Linked DNA regions of Styela clava. The protein of the gene in region 1 purifies or fractionates together with the protein of each later gene. This does not show direct contact. Links are inferred from orthologs where the notes say so. Each region holds a gene or a part of one and is shown on either strand. Other genes may lie near its edges.

Region 1 (9,296 bases):
AATTACCCATCAGTCAATTTAAATTTTTGCTCGCTGCTTTGAACACACAGCATAAATCCTCACACTGCAACTTTTTTATGATCCGAAAATACACATATCAGCATATCTCTTACCAAAATTTACACTCCTTGACAAATCATTACTGTATTGGGTACCTATAAGAACATTTACAACTTACCCTTTTTTATGCTGAACAATCGTAGCACAAAGCGGCTCTCTACTAGACTTCATCTACTCATGGAAGCTTTAAAGTGAATTTAAAATCTTACTGTCAATGTGCTTTCGAGTGCTGAACCGGTCGTAGGGCCTTCCCACTCAATTGATTGTTCCTCTATTTTGTTTTGTAATCTGCATTCTATCAGTTCTATAGTCAAGTATATCGTGTAATATTCCATGTGCACAACTAACTTGAATATTTATAGGTCACTCACTTAATCTTGACGCGAGACAGCGCCGTCAGAACACAGAAAAACGCAGGAAGTCGCACGATGATTTTCGAAGCAATAATAATCTGTTAGCACCAAGTCAAGCGTGTCAGCGAATTCAACATCGGGAGAAATTTCCGTAGTTACACGGGGTTGGTTTAATTTATGTTTTTCATACAGACGTCACAATTTCAGGGTGGTACCTATATTTCCTAAATATTGTTGTTTGTTTATACTTAATGCATTATGTACTTGCATGTATGTATTTAATGAAATATTCGGAAATGAAGCATTACAGCATTATCTCTCGCAACTGCAATCTGAATTCTTTTAAACTTCACTCTGGATTTACTTGTATAGTCTACCGGTATGTGTTTAGGTTAGTTATCAATTTATTTTACCTATTCACAGCTTATACCTGTATACTGTTATAACAGATAATGCTCCTTCAATTATGGAGAATATAGATGTTTATTCTTTAATTCCTCAAGAGTCTACATTTGAGGTTGTGCTGCGATATATGCTGTATGTTGGTGGAATATTTCAGCTACTTTGCATACTTGCTGTAATTTTTATTAATGACGATGAACCATCAAATAACATGACAGTTGATGAAAGAGATATGCCTTCCTCTCATCAACAAATGAACGTCAAATCAAATATCACAAAAGTTAAACGAAAAAGATTGGAAACAAAGAAGCGAAGATAATCCTGATCAAACAGATACTTAAGGGATTTATATGGCTGACTTATAGAAAATAAAAAACCAAGGAGAATTAAAGATATACTTCTTCATATGTGACAAATTTATAGAACTGGTGCAGCGAACATAAAAAGAAGATAAATGATTTAAAGTGAATCAGATACAATTGACCAACTGATTGCGGTTTATTCTACATATACCAGTATACCGGGTACTTAATAACTTGTTTTGTAATTATATCCAGCCGAATTGTTATGTTTTGATCATACATTGTATATGTAACAATTTTTCCCATGATTCATGATCTGACTTCAATTCTAGAATTTTACAATATATTGTAAATCAGTATTGTGCTATTTTTTCATTCTTGCCATAAATTTATCTATGCTTGTATTGAATTTCCTGTTCAATTTTATTTGAATGATGTAATTCAGCATTTGGCATTTACGATGGTGTTTTTTTTTTACTGCAAAAATTTAGTAGTTTATTAGACTTGGAAATTCAGCTAATGTTTTATATGCTAATTTATACTCAGCCAAACAATCTTACAGTGGAGATTTTTATGCTCCATCGGCCATGTTGTTTTCAAGTGACCATGTCTAATTTTCATATTTACAACTTAGAAAATTATCCTTAAATATTATTTTCATCCAATATTGGAATGTCAAAGGATTCAGAATTCAAAACTCTAGATATTAGTGGATATTCATCCCATTCAAAAAAACCTAAACATGTAACATTCTCAAAACCTGTGGAAATTGGAGTGTTCTCAATTGATGGCCAACGCAAATTTTGCAATAATCTCAGCCAGATGTCTTATGTTGAAGATACTTCGAGATGGTGTAAAAATATGGATCTAAATGATGGTTACAAAGACCGATTTGTGAAAAGAGATGAAAATGTAAAAGAGCGACTTGACAATCTGTTGAGATGGGTGGTTTCCAACCTTCATCGTTTCAAAAATGGCAATACAACTAAAGAAAGTAAAAGTTCTTCATTGGCTGCTTTACCAGATTTTATATTGTGGAGAGGGCATATGACAAAAATTATGTGCACGCCTTATGAATACCAAGAAGGCTGGGAGATGGCTGCACAAAAACTAGGTTCAACAATTTATATCAGCGAAGTTGAAACTCTGCAAGCAGAAAAAAGACGTTCGAACAGCACTGACAGAGAAAAGTTGATGACCTATTGGGGTGTTCGTTTCGAAAAGTACATGACCCGACCAGATCCTCCACATAATAGAAATGAAGCAAAATGTCCACGATTAGTACCCATCGATCAGTCGAAGATTGTGGTAAACACGAATGAGGCTTATTGTACAGTAATGAATGTGCAATTGAATTCTCATAAAATTATTCATAGTGCTGAAGTGGACTGCTGCCAAAATCCTTCTGAGGGTTTAACACCGCCAGATAATTATATTGAGTTGAAAACCAGCAGAGAGTTTTCTACTCAAAAACATGAAGACAATTTTCATAGGTACAAAACAAAAAAATGGTGGGCACAGTCATTTCTAGCTGGTGTGCCCCAGATTACATGTGGTTTCAGGGATGACAATGGCGTTATAGTTAGTATTCGTCATTTCAAAACATTGGATTTACCGAGGATGGCACGGCAAGTTCCTCACGGTGCTTGGGATGCAAATGTCTGTCTTGACTTTTTGAACAATTTTTTTGATTTTGTTAAAAATGTTTATAGTGGTGTACAAGAAGATGAAAAATGTGTATTTCTATTTTCTTGGAGGGCCAAGGGGGATAAAGTTATATGTACACGTTACAATTTGCCAACAAAACACGAGTTTTTGCCTGAATGGTACAAGATCTCATTAAGTTATCTATAAAACTTCGTATATGAGCAAACTCGCACCCCACTTCCTGTTAAAATGTTCTATTTTACTGAATTCAGTAGAAACATAATGCTTTGATCAATTTTTATTTATAATTACTTGTACTGATTAGGCAGATTTGATTTAATCTGGACTGTAATTTGGCCATATTCTGGCTTTGGTGAGTGAAGCGGTTTAGCCCACCTCTTCATGCACCCAACTTGGCAATTCTGATTGGGCAATTTGGCATTAGGAGACTTCAACTATGATAAGCTTAGTGATATCTTTTTAGAAATATTTCTTTATACATTTCACTCCTGTTGAGTGAATCCCTAAAAATGTTTCAATATGGTGTGACAAAATTTTTTATCCTGTTTAATTTTTTACCAAGTAATGTATCTCATGTTATATTATTTTGCTCTCTCACAATTTTATTCAGTCTTCGTGATTAAATACTTTTGGGTGAGCGAACAAGTACCACTTCTTTGGACAACACCTTGCAATTTAAAATCAGTTTTCCTTGTAATCAATTTTACTTATTTTGTTTTTATCAATTATTTTATGGTCTTCTATGCTGATTACAAGGTCGAAAAAAACTGATACTTATATAAAATTACAAATCTAATATTTTTTTTATATTTGTCTGCGTTTTATCTTTGCAGGGAGGCAAGACAAATAGGTAACTAACTAATCCCATACCCGACATGGACTGGTAACCGGACGAGAGGCCGTGATTCGCCCTTTAATTTAGCCATCTTATCGCATTCCTCCCCCGAAGAAAAAAAAACAAGGGAAATATTTACAATCTGAAAAATTTGACACATGTCGATTAGTTTTCGAACAGGGTACTCCCGAAGTATGTGAACCAAGATGGCGGAAACCGGGACGTGGTGTTGGGGTTAGGCCATAATTATATTCCAATTTTCCTTACTTTAGTTCTATTACGAGTTCGGAAACTAGCCAAGTGACTCTCGTAATATTTGTACATGAAATTTACCGCCATCTTGGTTCACATACTTCGGGAGCACCTCGAACAGTGATGTGCAAAAAACGCTTGCGCACCAAACACACTATCGTTAAATTGACAGCGTCAGACGTCTAAACAGAGCAAATTGAAAGTCATTGAAGTGAGCGTGAACAAACTGTCTCTGCCAGAGAATCCGTGTCACGAAACCTTTTGTGGGATAGGATTTTCATGTTTGCCAACTGTCAACTTGAAAAACTTATATCTTGGGAGTTTCAGCGCGATCTAAAACTACTCATGAGTGTAGATTTGTCTCAGATGAGTTGTGACGGAAACTCTGTGACAGTGAAGTACCGTACTATTGACACCTAGCAAAGATATACTAATTATAGAATGAAATACATTTTTCATATAGTGGTCTGCGGAATTTAGCAAAAATAATAAATTCCATATTGGCACTGGATTTCAATTTGCCAAAAAAGGTGCCACCTGAGGCATTACAGAGCTCAGATTTCAAGGGGAATCCCCAAATTTTAGTATGAAAAAGAAAAACAGTTTGACTTTCGATTCATAAATAGTCCAGTTGGATTTTTGCGGGCTTGCGATGGCTTTTATCCAGGATGGAAGAAGCTGATAATTATTAATATTTGATATACATGTTGAATGACAACCATTGGATTGAATCTTCAAATATGATACATGTTCATTGCATAAACTACACATGGTATGGGTAAATAAATCATGTTTCTGTATCGGCTTTTTGTTATAAATAGCTTGGGACTGGTGAAATTTCGGTACTCACGTACCGTAGTATGTGTACCAGTTTAGGGTTAGGCCATAATTTTATTTCGATTTTTCTTATTTTAGTTCTATTACAAGTTCGGGGACTGTCTGTGTCAGTGTGTTAGCGAAGTGAATATCCTCCTGCCCATAGGTTTCAGTCCCTTCACACAACTTGATGTAAAATAAATGGACAAAATTAGTTACCTCCATACTGGTACACATACTTCTAGAGCGCCGAAATTTCTATCAAACTGAGGTATAGGCTTTTTTCTTCTAAAAGTCGCTTGTGAATTTCTCCAAATGCCAGAGTACAAAACCTCATGGGCCATTCCACAAGTGCAGTTTTAAGTATTCTGTGGCATCTGCAACTGCCGCAAAACCATGGCGGTATTTCCATACCATGGCCGTTACGGCCAAACTCATGGCAACTGACTTTTAGCTGCCACAAACCAATGTCGGGCTGCCGTTACCGCGGCAGCAAATTGAAAACCAATGGCAGGTAAAATTTTGCTGCCGTAACCGCGGCAGGTGGGCCGTAAAGACAGGGCTGTCTATTATGGTGACAAATATTGGGCAAGTTGGAACGTTTTTCTTATGGATACAGTTTTGATTGATTTGGGGTTAGGGTTAAGGTTTATAGTATATATAATTCCACATGATCAATTAAAATCTGGTACATTAATTTGTGAATATACCGTTAATACCGATTACTGAATAGCGCTATAAAACCATGGCAAGAGCTGCCGCGGTTCGTTCAAGGCAGGAGCTGCCATGAAGTGGTAAGAACTGTGCCTCCCATTCTAAGCAGAAGTTGAATTCCATCAAGTTTTTAAAAAGTGTAATGAAAGTAATCTTTTTATTTTTGGTATCAAAAGACATTGGTGTGTTATTGGATTGCATTCATTTCATCGAACAATTTAAAATTTCACCCAGGTTTTTGATGGTTTTTAAAAAATGGTCTGAAATGTAGAAATTTTGGTGTAATTGACATATTTTTGTGATGATTCCTGGCACAAAAGGTTTGATTGTGTGTTACAGTTATTTCATATGGAATTGACGCACTGGATTTAAGTTAATTTTAAATGTTTGCAGTGCTGTAGAACATTTCTTCACCCATTTAACGATTTATTACCAGAATTTTAAGAGATGATAGATGCCGCTATTCCGAAGTGGAAAAATGTCATGTAGTGTCACGTCCTGTAGTCTGGTAGTGTCACATACAATATGCACATTATTGGCATGGATTTACAGTGTTACATTAAGTAACTTGAGCAACACATAGAGGGGTAGTTCAGCTACTGCACCAGAAAATATTATGGGCTCCTACTGTACCATCGCAAAAATTTACAGCACAACACAACATACTGCTGTACTGTTAGTGCATGGTGGATTTGCCGTCCTGTAGTGTCACGCTATATTTTACTATATTTTTTTTATCTACTAAGTAAGGTTGGGTGTAACTTTTGTGCAATTTTTTACATATTCAATAAAGCAATTGATTGGACAATGAAACAAAACATGTAGCTGAAAATGTGAAAATATATTGAATCTAACAACTTGCAAAATTTCTGGAATTGTCCCGTAGTGTCACTTGGAATAGCCCATACAGACATACTAAGCATAACTGACCATCTTTGTTTGTGTTTACAGATTTATCTAATTGAAAAATTATTCATAGTACAATGACCTCTGGTAATGAATTTATAATTGAAGTCGAGACCAGGATTTCAATTCATACAGTGACTATACAATTCCTGTGTGGGGTGGCTATCCGGGAATTGCCATGGCAATTTATTGTTGATTTCGTAGAAGAAGAAAAACAAAATGAAATATTAAACAAAACCATATTTCATCCTTTATGTAAAAAATATTCTGTCGGTGTTCTGTACCAGCGGTCTTTTTGCAAAAAGTTCATCAAAGAGATTGAAGATAGAAATCAAGTTGTTTCTGAAAGTCTATGCCAGCATTATGTATCACTACTCAGTATGGAAAATACACCATATTCATATAAAATATATTATATTCCTGGGATATGTAAATTTGTGCCGATTTTGGAAAGCAGAAATTTATTATCAAATGGAACCACAGGTCTCAATACCTGGCAAGGTGCTAAAGTACTCGCTGAGTGGTGTTTGTGTAACCCTGGTTTAATTAAAAACAAAAAGATTTTAGAGTTGGGATGTGGGGCTGGATTCTCTGGTATAATGACACTGAAAACTTGTCAACCATTGTCATATACATTCACAGACTATCACAGTGAAGTTATGTCATTATTATGCCACAATGTGAAAATGAATTTTGATGCAAAATTTTGTGATTCGTTTACAGAAAAAAATCCAAGCGAAATAGACAATTTGAAGCTTTTTGATATTGATAATATATCCGTAAAATCTTTGGACTGGACTGATTCTGATGATACAGATGCTCTAATAAAGGAAAATGGTCCATTTGATATTGTTTTTGCCGCTGATGTTGTTTTCGATCCCGCAATATTGAATCATCTAGTAAAAACTGTACGTTCAGTCTTAAGGCATTCTACAGCTTTGAATGATCACAATAAAAAAGTTACTGATTATCCCTTTGCCTGTTTTTCTATTACTGTTAGAAACCCATCAACTTTTGAATTATTCTTACATGAGTTAGATAAATATGGTTTAGATTGTATAGAAATGCCATTGAATGTTTTCAAAGTTTTCTATTTTGATGGAAGCTCTGATGTTAAGCTTTTAAAAATTGTATTAAGACTTTAATATATGACATTTGTCATTTATCAAAGTCATTCATAAAAAGAAACACATAATGGTTTTAATACTTATATACTGTACTAATTTAATTGAAACATAGTATTGTATTTGCACATCAATTGGTTGAAAATTTTATCATGTTTTATAACAGGGGTTCTCAAAAACTGGGGTCCGTGTACCCCCAAGAGGTCCGGGAAATTTGAGGGGTTTGTGAAAAATCAGTGAAAATGTTATAAATGAAATGAATGGAAAAATCTTCCTTAATTAAAGAAGAACTGATTTTTTTCCTTGTCGCTTGATTTCACCCATTTTAGCCCTTCAATTTGGGATCTGGCATAAAAGTTCTATTCTCTATTCATTTCTCGTCATGTTTATGCATTTTGTACTGTACTATTGACAAGGGGTTCACACAATTATGGGTCCATGTTAAAAATAGTTTGAGAGCCCCTGTTTTATAAGTTTTCACAGTGGTAACTATTTTTTATTCTTTTGATAAAATGCGAGGAGTTACTATAGTTTGGAAGGGCCAGGATTTTTTTTTGTTTTGTTCCAATGATTATGCTGGAATTCTATTTCTAGCCCTAATTAAATAAGCATAATCATAACAAAAATGGAAAATTTCATTCTCTATGAAGAAATAGGAAAAGGTTCTCACTCTGTTGTATATAAAGGGCGAAGAAAAGGAACAATAAATTTTTTGGCAATTCTCTGTATAGAAAAGTGCAAAAGAGGAGCCATCACGAATTGGGTAAGATTTGATGAATTAATAATCAATGTCATTTTAGTTTTAGCTAAGGGGTGCTTATAAATCTGATAGGCCTTGTTGGATGTAGAACATATATTGGTACTGGTCAATAAATAATGTTTTACAATCACAAATTGTTGTTCTTAAAATTCCAAATCCTGGTATTATTAACATAATCACTCTATATCTTTCCACCCAATTTAGCTCTTTCGTATGCAAAAAACAATTTCTTATTTAAATTAGTGTTTTTTTTCATGATGCTCATTTACTTCCAACAAGGAGGCCCAATCTAATCATGAAGGGACTACTTTTTGAATAACCAGAATATTTCGGTTTTGCATTGTCAACCCAATTTCTTATATCATGAGCGAGGTTAAGTCTACTCTAGTGCGCACCTACCGTAATTCCTCATACCAGTGCTTCTCAATCTTTTTAATCCGCACCTCCTTTTTAGAATTTGTCAAGTCTCGTTTCCCGCCTCAAAATTTGTCAAGTCTCGCTCTCCACCTCAAAAATAACTAGCTAACAATAGGCTACAAATAGCAGATAGTAAGGCGGTAGTATGTTTTATTCAAAAAACACTTCATCGTACAATGATGGAATGTAATTATCCGAAATAGGGAGGATATAAGATCAAATCTAACGAAGGTTTTTATTTTTAATTAGCTTTACGACCTCTCAAAATATTGTCTATACCCACTTTGTTGGAAGGACCCCATTGTTTGAGAACCACTGCTTATGACCATTGTGCCCAATATCTTGATCAATTTTAATAAAATTATACATTGATGATTCTAAAAACTTTATTTATATGTTGGGAAGTGGAATCCTGGTTCTCTGACCTTCTATTCTTAGTTATACAGAGTCTAGCCATTCGGGAGCATCTCAAGAAAAATCCTTGTCCAACGACTCACAAATATATTGTTTGTTATCTAAATATAGAGATAATTCTATTTTATACTGAAATGACATTGATTTCAGGTTCGTCTTACGCATGAACTTGAGCATGAACATATTGTGAAATTCTATGAATGGTACGAAACAAGCAATCATCTATGGATGGTAGTTGAATTATGTACAGGTATGTATGGCACTTTGTGCAGT
Region 2 (10,343 bases), on another chromosome or scaffold:
TGAGCAGTAATAGAGCCAGTACTTACCGCTAACACAATCAACCACAACCAGTGCACCATCTGTAACGCGCAGAGCAGCTGTAACCTCCGATGAAAAGTCAACATGTCCTGGTGAATCAATCAAATTGATAAGAAAGCCATTACCATCTTTTTCACATTTGATATGTTGCATATCCTTTTCAGGCAGTTCATAAAAGAGAGAAATTGCACTGAAAAAAGAATCAATTTCAGTGCTTATTTTTATGAATGTAATTAAATATTTAATTTTTACTTACCGTATACAACAATATGTACCGGTAACCAATACTTAAAATCCAAACTTTTTTTACTCAATAATATCTATTTCAATATGGCTCCAATTCTAAGAATAACAACCATATTAACCTAATCCTCCCGGTCTGACGCATGCGCGACGTTTCAGACGTTTTGCAATGCTGTGTGTATACCATGAGGTCTGAAATGTTTGTTATGGTCTTGCTTGAAAGGAAATCTTATTCCCCACACAACGATATGAGAATGAACCTTATATGACATTTAGAAGTGATAAAATTTCGCTTACATATCACGCGTGTACTTCCCGCTGCGATATAAAAACGTCGCACAACAAGAAAATGATTCCATAAACCTTGGCGTTGCGCGCTAACCAATAACAAAAGCTAGTATGATAAGGTCTTATTTTGAAGGTCATTTTATATGCTACATAACATAGGAGAGTGGACATCTCACAACGTCAGGAAGTTATAAAAATATCGAGTCGTTTGATCGCAGCTGCCTCACCGAAAAAAAGTTAGGCGTTTTATCTCGCAAATTCTCCTTGTCTGACGATTATAAGCTTTTATGATTCATAATAAATGTTTTATTATGACTCACAAAAGCTTTCAACGCGATAAAGCACAATCAAACAACCGATCGATCTATCAAGCTTAGCCTGGCCTGATTCGATGTGGTGACTTCTCAAACGGAAAATTTCCAAAACGATTGAACGACGCGCGCTATGGAAAAGCGTTTAGTATCATATGAAAGAGAAAACCAATGTGCAGTCAACTGTATAGTCACATTTCAGCTTTACAATAGCTATAGACGTCCAACAGCTGATAGAATGAGAGAGTGTAAATATTTTTGTTATTTTTTGACGTTACGAGAGACCTCTTGAAAGAGGTGTTTTAGTTTACGGTCCTCCAGTGACATCTAGCGTATAGTACTCTAAAATACCTTTCCAATGGTATATAATTATTGTATATTGGGTGAATTTTGGGGGTCGTATCACGTATGACATTAATAAAAATGGGTATTCAAAATTGGGCTCGATTGGGCGTCTAAAACAGGTTAAAAGACATCAATTATAATAATGAATGCAAACCGAGATGATGTGGAGTCTTTATAACACCAAACCGGTACTGCCTAATAAACTATTACAGTACAGCACACTATCCAAATTTTAAGAATTTCCCTCCATTAGGCTCAATAAAACAAACACTCTATGTGTCTCACAAACGCGGGGCGTCTGGGACCTCGGCAGATGCTTCATATCGCGCCATGCTTGTCTCAATAATAATATAAATTGATCGCAGCAGTCACATGACCAAAATTGCTGTTTTTTGCTAAAAACTTCCGAAAGCTACGGTAAAAATTTTTTCCTTCGGTAAATCTGATTATTTTTTCCCAAGGAATTCAATGACGACGTTACTAGATTGCGCTTTTTTGTAGTATATTGCGCAACTTCATTATACTGTATTATTACTGATATTGAGGGACAACAATTCCAGACGTCTCCCAAAGGAGGGGTGTCTGATCATCTGTAAAATGGTTTCTCTGAAACGGGAAAATGTCACCCGATTTGTATAGTGTGCCGTACTGTAATAAGGACACACAATCTAAGTCTCCATAACACCAAACCGGTACTGCCTAATAAACTATTAAGGACGCACAATCTAGAAACATTCCCATGGATTCCCCCCAAAAAAATAATCTGAATTTACGCAAGGCAAAAAAAATTTACAGTATTTGAATTTTTTTAGCAAAAATCAGTCTGGAGGAATGGAAATTTTGGTCATGTGACAGCCAACATATGTCATGATTGACTTATCATCCAGTCATTTGCAGGACTAATTTTTTTCATGGATCTTGGAATTGTGCCCTACTGTATATTGAGAAATGTATTTGTTTTAAAGCTCACTTACGTTGACTTGATTGTAATGCATCTCTCCTGCTCATCCTTTCTCGTATCTGTAAAACGAGTTTCTCCAGCTTTCGCACCAGCAATGATACCAGCTTTGCTAACAAGGGAGTCTGTTAATGTAGATTTACCATGATCTACATGAGCAATAACAGACATGTTCCGAATATTGGCTTTTTTGTCCATGATCTCACGGATCTGATCGACTGTGAAGTTCACCTAAAAATAAAAATTATGTTTAACATCAGTCTACAGCAAAAGCGTGCAACAGGCCACCAAGCTATTTAGTGAGCCCTTTTGAACAACCTGATTTTTCCAAATCAAGTATATAATCCTAATCCGACAGTTTATATTAAAAAAGACACTCACAAAGGTAAAAATACACATACATATACTACCCTAAGACGGCGAGGCGTCCAGCAATCCTCTTGCACATTTTATCCTCCCAGGATTTAAACCGCCAAACCCACAAAGGGTATCAGAGGGGTGGTCTGGTGGTGATGACTGGGTGAGTGTATTCCCAACGCTTAGCACAGTAGCACGATGCGCCGGGTCTTACTACTTACTGAATAGAACACGAAACAGCGCAGAATGGATAGAAACATTTTACTTTCATTATTTATTAGCATCCGTGAAATTTTAAACAATTTGATGGGAAACGGTATACAGTGGTAGGGAATGATCACGAGTTTATGTCAGTAATCTTCAACATCTTTAAATAACCAAACATGATGCACCCTAACCTGGTACACATACTGTGTTCAGGTTGTGCGCCATCTTGGTGCACATACTTCATGACGCACCCTAACCTGGTACACATACTGTGTAAACTTGTGATCATTCCCTACTACTGTATGTTGCCTCCCATCAAATTGTTTAAAATTTCATAGACGCTAATAAATAATGAAAGAAAAAAGTTTCCATCTCTTCTGCGCTGTTTTGCGCTCTTTCCCTCTCTTCTGCGCTGTTTCGCTCTCTATTCAGTAAGTAGTAAGACCGCGATGCGCCACACTGCTGAGCCCAAATTACTAATACTATTATATTGAAGTATGACATTTCAGTGTCAATATCGGAGAGTCAACCTCCAACCTCAAATGGTGTTGAATCATATAAAACAATCTTTATTATTTTGTTACCAGTCACCATTGCCACTGACTGATTGAAGATTTAGATATCTACCCTGTTTTTACATAATATAGCAAAGGACTGGCATTTACAAAATAAATAAAAAATACGTAGATCGCTACATAGACTGGATGTCAGATTTTTCTGTCTAAATTGAAAAGTGGGTTCTTCCCGTTCAGGTTATAGGCTACCTTCGCAAGAGTTATATCCACTTAAATCACGCTCAACAAGCCATATTATTCGTTCATATTGCGCGAAATATATCGACAGACACATGATAGCTCAAAATTACATAAAAAAGGGAAGATAAACTCACCATTTTGGATGTTTTGACTTCGTTTCTTCACTCCGCGTAAAAAAATCAACCCTCGAACTGAAGGGCTTGGGAAAGGAACGTTATGAAATGACAAAGCTGTAACGCCAACCTATTACGTCATAGCACCACGAAACAATATTGCGAAATCCAACAGTAATTATTGCGTCCCTACACGGATGAAATAAGAGAGGAAGAGATATTATTTGTCGATCAGATCAAACAGTCATGATATAATAAGTAAAATGATAATAATAATAATGAAGCAAAAAAAATTCTCATTCTGGAATATCCCCATATATGAGTATAAGTTTATTTTGACTTCATAAATCAGCATAAAGGCGATGAAATAATTGATAAAAACAAAATAAATAAACTGATTACAGAATCGGAAAAACGAACAAACCCTTGAGCATGGTTTAAATAAAACGTACATATTTCAGATTAAAAGGTGATGCCAAAATAAGTGGTACGTGTTCGCTCACCCAAAAGTATCAGGTTATTAGACCTTATTAATTCGAAAACCATCCAACGCGCGAAAAACGAAAGTGGCATGAACAAAAAACGAACCAAAAACGATTTTAACATTAGCTCTCATGGGGAATGTGATCACCAGAGCAAAAATTTGCATTTTTTGTAATTTTCTAGTTATCTTTCATTGTAGACGTATGCAGTTTTGGGGATAGAATATATTTTATATACTTTTTGATATTTTTATCATGATAGACACAGTCAAGATTTTTGATAATCGTTCATTGAAATTTTCATGGTCGTGGTGTTTCTGCTGGCATCTTTCTCACCATACCATGCCATTCTGCCAACGCGTTGTGGTCTGTGAAATATGCGCTCCAACTGCTCGTGTTTCTTATTATTATAGGATAACAGAATACCGGGACCACAACATACCGTGTTTGGCGCTAAAGAAAGACCTATTTTAGTTAGTAAAGTTTAGCCGGAATGGCAGTCTGTTCACGTATTAAATCAAGTAGACAAAAAAAAACTAGGAAAAAGAGTAAAAAAAATATATTACTTGGTAAAAAAGAATATATTTATACAAATAAAATAAATTTCGCCCAACCATATTGATAGATTTGTATGAATTTTGAAATTGGATACCGAATTGGTTAACAGGAATGAAATGTATAAAACAATGTTCCTAAAACGATATCGCCAAGTTGATTATAGTTGGAGTCTCCTAACGCCAAATTCCCGAAAGGAATTGCCAAGTTGGATGCATGAAAAGGTGGACTAGACTCTAGACTAGATCACTTCATTCACCATAGCTAGAATATAGCCAGATTAGATTCTAGATTAAATTAAATACTACTAATCACCAAAAGTAATTATAATAGGGTGGTTCACGTAACCACTGGTCGATTACGGCATCCTCTTTTATCAAGTCCATGCTTCCGAAAACGAATAACTAACTAATCCCATACTCGACATGGAATGGTAACCGGACGAGAGGCCATGATTCGCCATATCGGCTTTCTTCTCACACGGGATAAATGTGTAAATTCTATCCAAATTTGGTCTGACCTGGACACGCCACTGCGCGTCGCTGAATCAAACGCTTTGATTGTACAACGCAATTAGGTATTGACTCGAGAATCTGCACACACTTTTCCCAAACAGACAAAGATGTCAAAGTTGAGTGTTAAACCTGCGTTTTTTATTCGTTTCCATTGGCTATGATATTGAATCAATTTTCAAATGAGCATAAAGCGCACCAATCTCTTGTATTTTCAACAACTTTTTAGTGGGAAGTCTTGTAAAATTCGAAACATCAGAGACTGAATGGGGAGGGAAGAACTATGCTGACGTCAACAAATTATACCCGCGGACAACAGATTAGATACTATTCCGTCAACATTTTCTTTACACTTAGAGCTTTAGTCCCACTAATCTTGCGCTTACATTTTTTATAATGCAGATTTATTTGCACAAAAGAATGTAACAATATTAAAACTAAACCATGCTTGGATCCGTCAATATTATCTTAGACATTGGGAACTGATATGCTCGCCCATGGTTCATCAAAGGGTACTTCCGAAGTATAAGAACCAAGATGGCGGACACCGGGACGTAGTATGTGTACCAGATTAGGGTTAGGTAGGTCATAATTTCATTCCAATTTTAGTTCTATCACGAGTTTGGGGACTAGCCAAGTGACTCCCGTAGTATTTGTACCTGAAATTATGACCTAACCCTAACCTGGTACACATACTGCGAGTACCATATTATGCAATATGTAGTATTGTTGTAGATAGCTTATTGCGTTGAAAACACATTAAATAAATAATTAAATAGCCTAATTTGTTACAATTACCGTAATAAAAATATGATTGCGGAAGATTCATGTGTACATGAGATGTGTCGCGGACCATAACGTCCGCGTTTATATTGTGTATATATATATTTCATGTTGTATTGACCCTTATTCAATGCTGTTTTGTCGGATCTGGACTCCGACTAATCACTACACGTGAGAGGAAAACTATGTCATTCGCTCTCTTTTCTCCGTTCTTCGGGCTGGAGGTCGGTCGTGTTTTTAGTTCTTTAGTGATGTAATCAGTTTATATGTTTCAAGTTTGATATTCTGAAGTTGCCGTACAATAAACAACCAATCCGGAACCCTTGAGTCTTTGATTCATCTACAACCACGGTAGCAACATCTTCGTCCGTGACAGATGCAAGCATGCAAGAGACCTGTATTCTCGCTAATACATATGAAAAAAAGAAAACTATGCTCAAATAAAGAGATGATGGTTGCGCATCGATACTGGTACCGCAAAGGCTGAAAACATCGAGTTTGCTGAAAAGATGTTGGCGAACAAGTTCACGCGATCGAGCATGTCAGAATAGTTGGGGCCAAAATTAGGGTGAAATAATCAGTTCCAGTCAACGACTAACATACCGTCCCAGTATAGCAGGGGGCGGCAAATTATGTCCCGCGGGCCAGATCCAGCGTGGAGTAAAATAATCCGGCCAGCGATGCTTCACTGAATTATAGTAACAAAACGGCTATTTTGACGATTATATTTTTTATAATATCATATTCTTCATATTCGATGCAAGTGCAAAGGGTGAATGAAACTTTCTGAATCTAACTTTCTAACTATCCAAATTTGACAAAAGTCCACATCGATGTTTAGAAGTACATATGCGTGCAAAAAATTATTTTCGAAAATGAACATTACAAAGAACAAGCTGAGAACTCGGATTAATGATTCCCATTCAGAAATTGTTTTAATCCTGGCTTCATCCAGTGTGCCGCCAGAAAAAAAGAGTGATATTAAATGTCATTTGTAAATTTTTTTCTTCAAGTAAGAGGACTAAGTCAGCCATCCGTTCTTGTTAACTTTCGAAAAATTATGCGGCCCGCCAAGACTTGCAACCCTTAATTTTGGCACGCGAGCGACAAAAGGTTGCCGACTCCTGAACCAGCAACTTCTTTCTTTTTACAAAGTTCTGAAGATTTGAAATTGATTAGCCAACTAGTTGCAAAAAAAAGTTAATATTTCGAACAACCACAGTCACCCCGACAACATCAAGATTTGAGCAAAACAATATCAGACTTTGCCTTCAGTATTAACTTGAGGGAATAACACGCAGGAGACACCAGTTACAAACTATTAACATAGAATTGAATCGTTAGCCAAGCCTTTTATGTGAGGGAAATTAACCATGGGTTACCAGCTATATAATAATTAAATGAGCCGTTTAACAAGGAAGATGAGTACTTCGAATCAAAACTGATCGTTGTTCAGAACAAGCGAGCTATGCTCAAATATATGAACACGTTTACCATCCCAAGAAAAGCACCAACATTCAAAGACTTCAGGTATAACAGTGACTGCAAGCCACGCTTTTACGAGACAGTTACGAGTTAGTTCAGTATCACCGCGCTGTGTTACGGTACCGGAACTGCTCTATCTTTAAAAGTTCCTGTCTTGTGACAGCGTGAATTGAAATTGCAAGCTGGTCCGAGACTGTAGTAACACCAACGATACGAGTCACTACTGTTATATAACACCAAGTACGGCACTATTCGCCATTCACCTTTCCTCAAATATTAGCAAAGCAATGATTTCGTTACGAACCACCGACGTTCGATGGTACGTGATCAAAAGAACATGAAGAGGAGTGCCAGCATATGCGTCCGCAGAACGTTCGGTGACTTCATAGCAAACAAAAACAAATCTCACAGAGCTAACAGAAATATTTAGAATAAATAAAAGTAATAGCCTTCTGAAGAAAAATTTCATCTTTAACCACTAAAAATTTCAAAACAATTGGTTCAGTAATCAAAGAGAAAAGCGACTTTTTAGGTTTTCCACTAGGTGTCCAAAAAGTGTCAGAGAACAACAACATAATATTGAAACGATCGTTATGTCCACTAACGTGTCCAAAAAGATTTTATAAATGTGTGATTATGTCTTGAATACTCTTAATTCAATCAAATGGTACAGGTTAGCTCTTTAGTGAAGAGGATAAAAACCCGCAGCAAGACTAATATGCAGTATGACACGGCAATATTGCTAATATAAAAATGCACGGGGCAAGTTATAAATAGCATACCGAATCGAAAACAAGAAAGAACCTTTTTCAGATTTAGCATATTTTTGAACGTGGAAGTACCTAAAAATTTTCATGAACAAATTCCAATTTGGAAAAAAAATTAGAATAAAATCGAGATACTGATAAGATCAAGAGTTATATAAATATAACCTGAACTAGTCAATAAATTAGAATTCAACAGAAGCAAATTCATTTGGTTATTTAAAAGAGATCTATGATAATGAGACAAGATTGGATCACGGTGAGTATGGCGTAGGTCAATTTTTTCGTTGTTGAAATATTAATGTGATTCAGGCTAACAAAGAAAGAAATGGAAATCATACAACTTAATAGAATTTAAAAATTAACCATAAAAAACGCCTGTCTGATAATTTATTTCTTTACAATATCCATATGAACTGGGATAATGTGATTCAAACCAACCAGAATTCTTCAACTTTCAACAGCGTTAATTAATAAATCTAATTTGCTACAAACTTAGTGGGCCTGATGGTCTAGCAGTATAAGCGTTAAACTTAACTTGCTGACATCGAAGGCTACACATCTCAGATTTTAAGTTCTCCCCTCGGCACCTCACTTATGTCATAAAAAGCCAATGCCAAGCCATAAATATTTCGCTTCCTCCAAAAATAGTAGCTCAACATACCGGTAGATGTTTGTACAGTGGCTTCTTCGGAACTAACGGAATAATGAAGCGATGTATAAAAAAAAAACATGCTGAATAATTTTTTTTTTAATTTCAGATGTTACGGATTTTGATGTTTCTCTGCTTTACTGTAGGATTGGCATCGGGGAACAAGATATATCACTTCAATCCCCCCAGCCCATCAACACCTTACTATTATCCAGGCACTAAAGTTCCAGTGCACCCACCTCCATATGACCAGAAGCTTTTTAGAAAAAAAGAATTTTTGGTGAGTTTCATTGAAAACAATTCACAAAAATCTCTATTCTGACAACAATTTCATTTTTAAAATACTTTTTTTTTTCAGAATGTGCCATTAACTATGGCTTTATGCAGAAAATACAATGAGCTACGAAGACTCAAACCATGTGCAAGAGCAATACAGAACATGCAAAGAGGAATACTACCCAGTTGCCCGTTATCTGATAACAACAGATGGCCGTCGAATACAAGTAAAATCATTATAAATTTATATCATACTTGAAATGATAAGAAAACTACATATCACAACTGCCTTATTATGACAGCATTTCGAGGTCACCTAGACATCTTGATATTGGCATACTTTATTTAGAGATAGTACCAAATGTTTTATTCTTTAATAATAAATGACATTAGTAATATTTTACACTAAAATTTATACCAAATCTCAAAGTTGGATCCGGTGTCAAAGTTTCAAAAGTCAAAATCTCAAGTTTAAGCATTCGAAAATATAAAAGCGAACATAAAATTTCAACAGAAATTTGTAAATCTGATTCTGGAGGCAACTTTTGGAATATCTCGTAGTAGAGAGTCGCATTGAACTTTTTTTTTTAATTTAGTAATCCAATGGTTTATACCAAATAGGTCAGCAATCTCATACAAGAACGAAAAGATCATTTACCCCGCTACCTGAATGTACAGCAAGCCAACCAAACGCAATCACAGTCACAACAGCGAGAGATTCATCCAACCCTAATAAAAATTTGGACATTATATCAATGCATTCGTAAGTATTTCATACAAATATTATATCCAACTCCAGATTATCAGATAACTGAATAAATTTTGATCATTTTTTTTTTAATTTATCAATTTCTAGTATTTTTTAACAATGCATATCCTCTTGGTCCGGGATTCTCAAAGCCTCCTAGTGAGCTATGAAATGACGGAAGCCACTACGTGTCGTTCACGGTAACTACATTAACTTAAATTGCAAAGTAAATTGCCTGCGATTTGTTCAATTCTTCGGCTGCAATATATTTATTCCTCTTGTTCGCTTATGTTTTTTTATTTATTAAGAGTCGCACATAAAATAATTGATTGAAACGCGGTAGAAGCCTAATTAGGTATTTTTTTTATAGAATTACCACAGGTCTCAAAGAGTCTATATAAGGGCGCCCCGAATAATGGAAGTTGGTGAAACACTGGACTAAGGTCTGATATTGGTAATGTTCGGCATGAAATTGAAACTAAATATTCATA

What was found.
Region 2: the proteins of protein-lysine N-methyltransferase EEF2KMT-like (region 1) and elongation factor 2-like purify together in Homo sapiens (affinity purification with mass spectrometry; 3 studies listed by BioGRID and IntAct, counting the BioPlex papers as one, with this or other methods). This does not show direct contact. The link is inferred for Styela clava from reciprocal best matches to the Homo sapiens genes EEF2KMT and EEF2.

What each region holds. Positions count from the first base shown.
Region 1 is NC_135261.1:17,576,846-17,586,141, forward strand, and holds protein-lysine N-methyltransferase EEF2KMT-like, read left to right. Parts: upstream 1-6,350; 5' UTR 6,351-6,385; coding exon 6,386-7,453; 3' UTR 7,454-8,026; downstream 8,027-9,296. Other genes in the region: decapping and exoribonuclease protein-like, read left to right, coding at 1,790-2,971; serine/threonine-protein kinase ULK4-like, read left to right, coding at 8,058-8,195, 9,174-9,273. UniProt on the Homo sapiens protein: Catalyzes the trimethylation of eukaryotic elongation factor 2 (EEF2) on 'Lys-525'.
Region 2 is NC_135257.1:16,652,185-16,662,527, forward strand, and holds the start of elongation factor 2-like, read right to left. Parts: upstream 3,769-10,343; 5' UTR 3,620-3,768; coding exon 3,617-3,619; intron 2,395-3,616; coding exon 2,180-2,394; intron 209-2,179; coding exon 27-208; intron 1-26. Other genes in the region: uncharacterized protein LOC144411684, read left to right, coding at 8,953-9,108, 9,187-9,331, 9,726-9,867. UniProt on the Homo sapiens protein: Catalyzes the GTP-dependent ribosomal translocation step during translation elongation.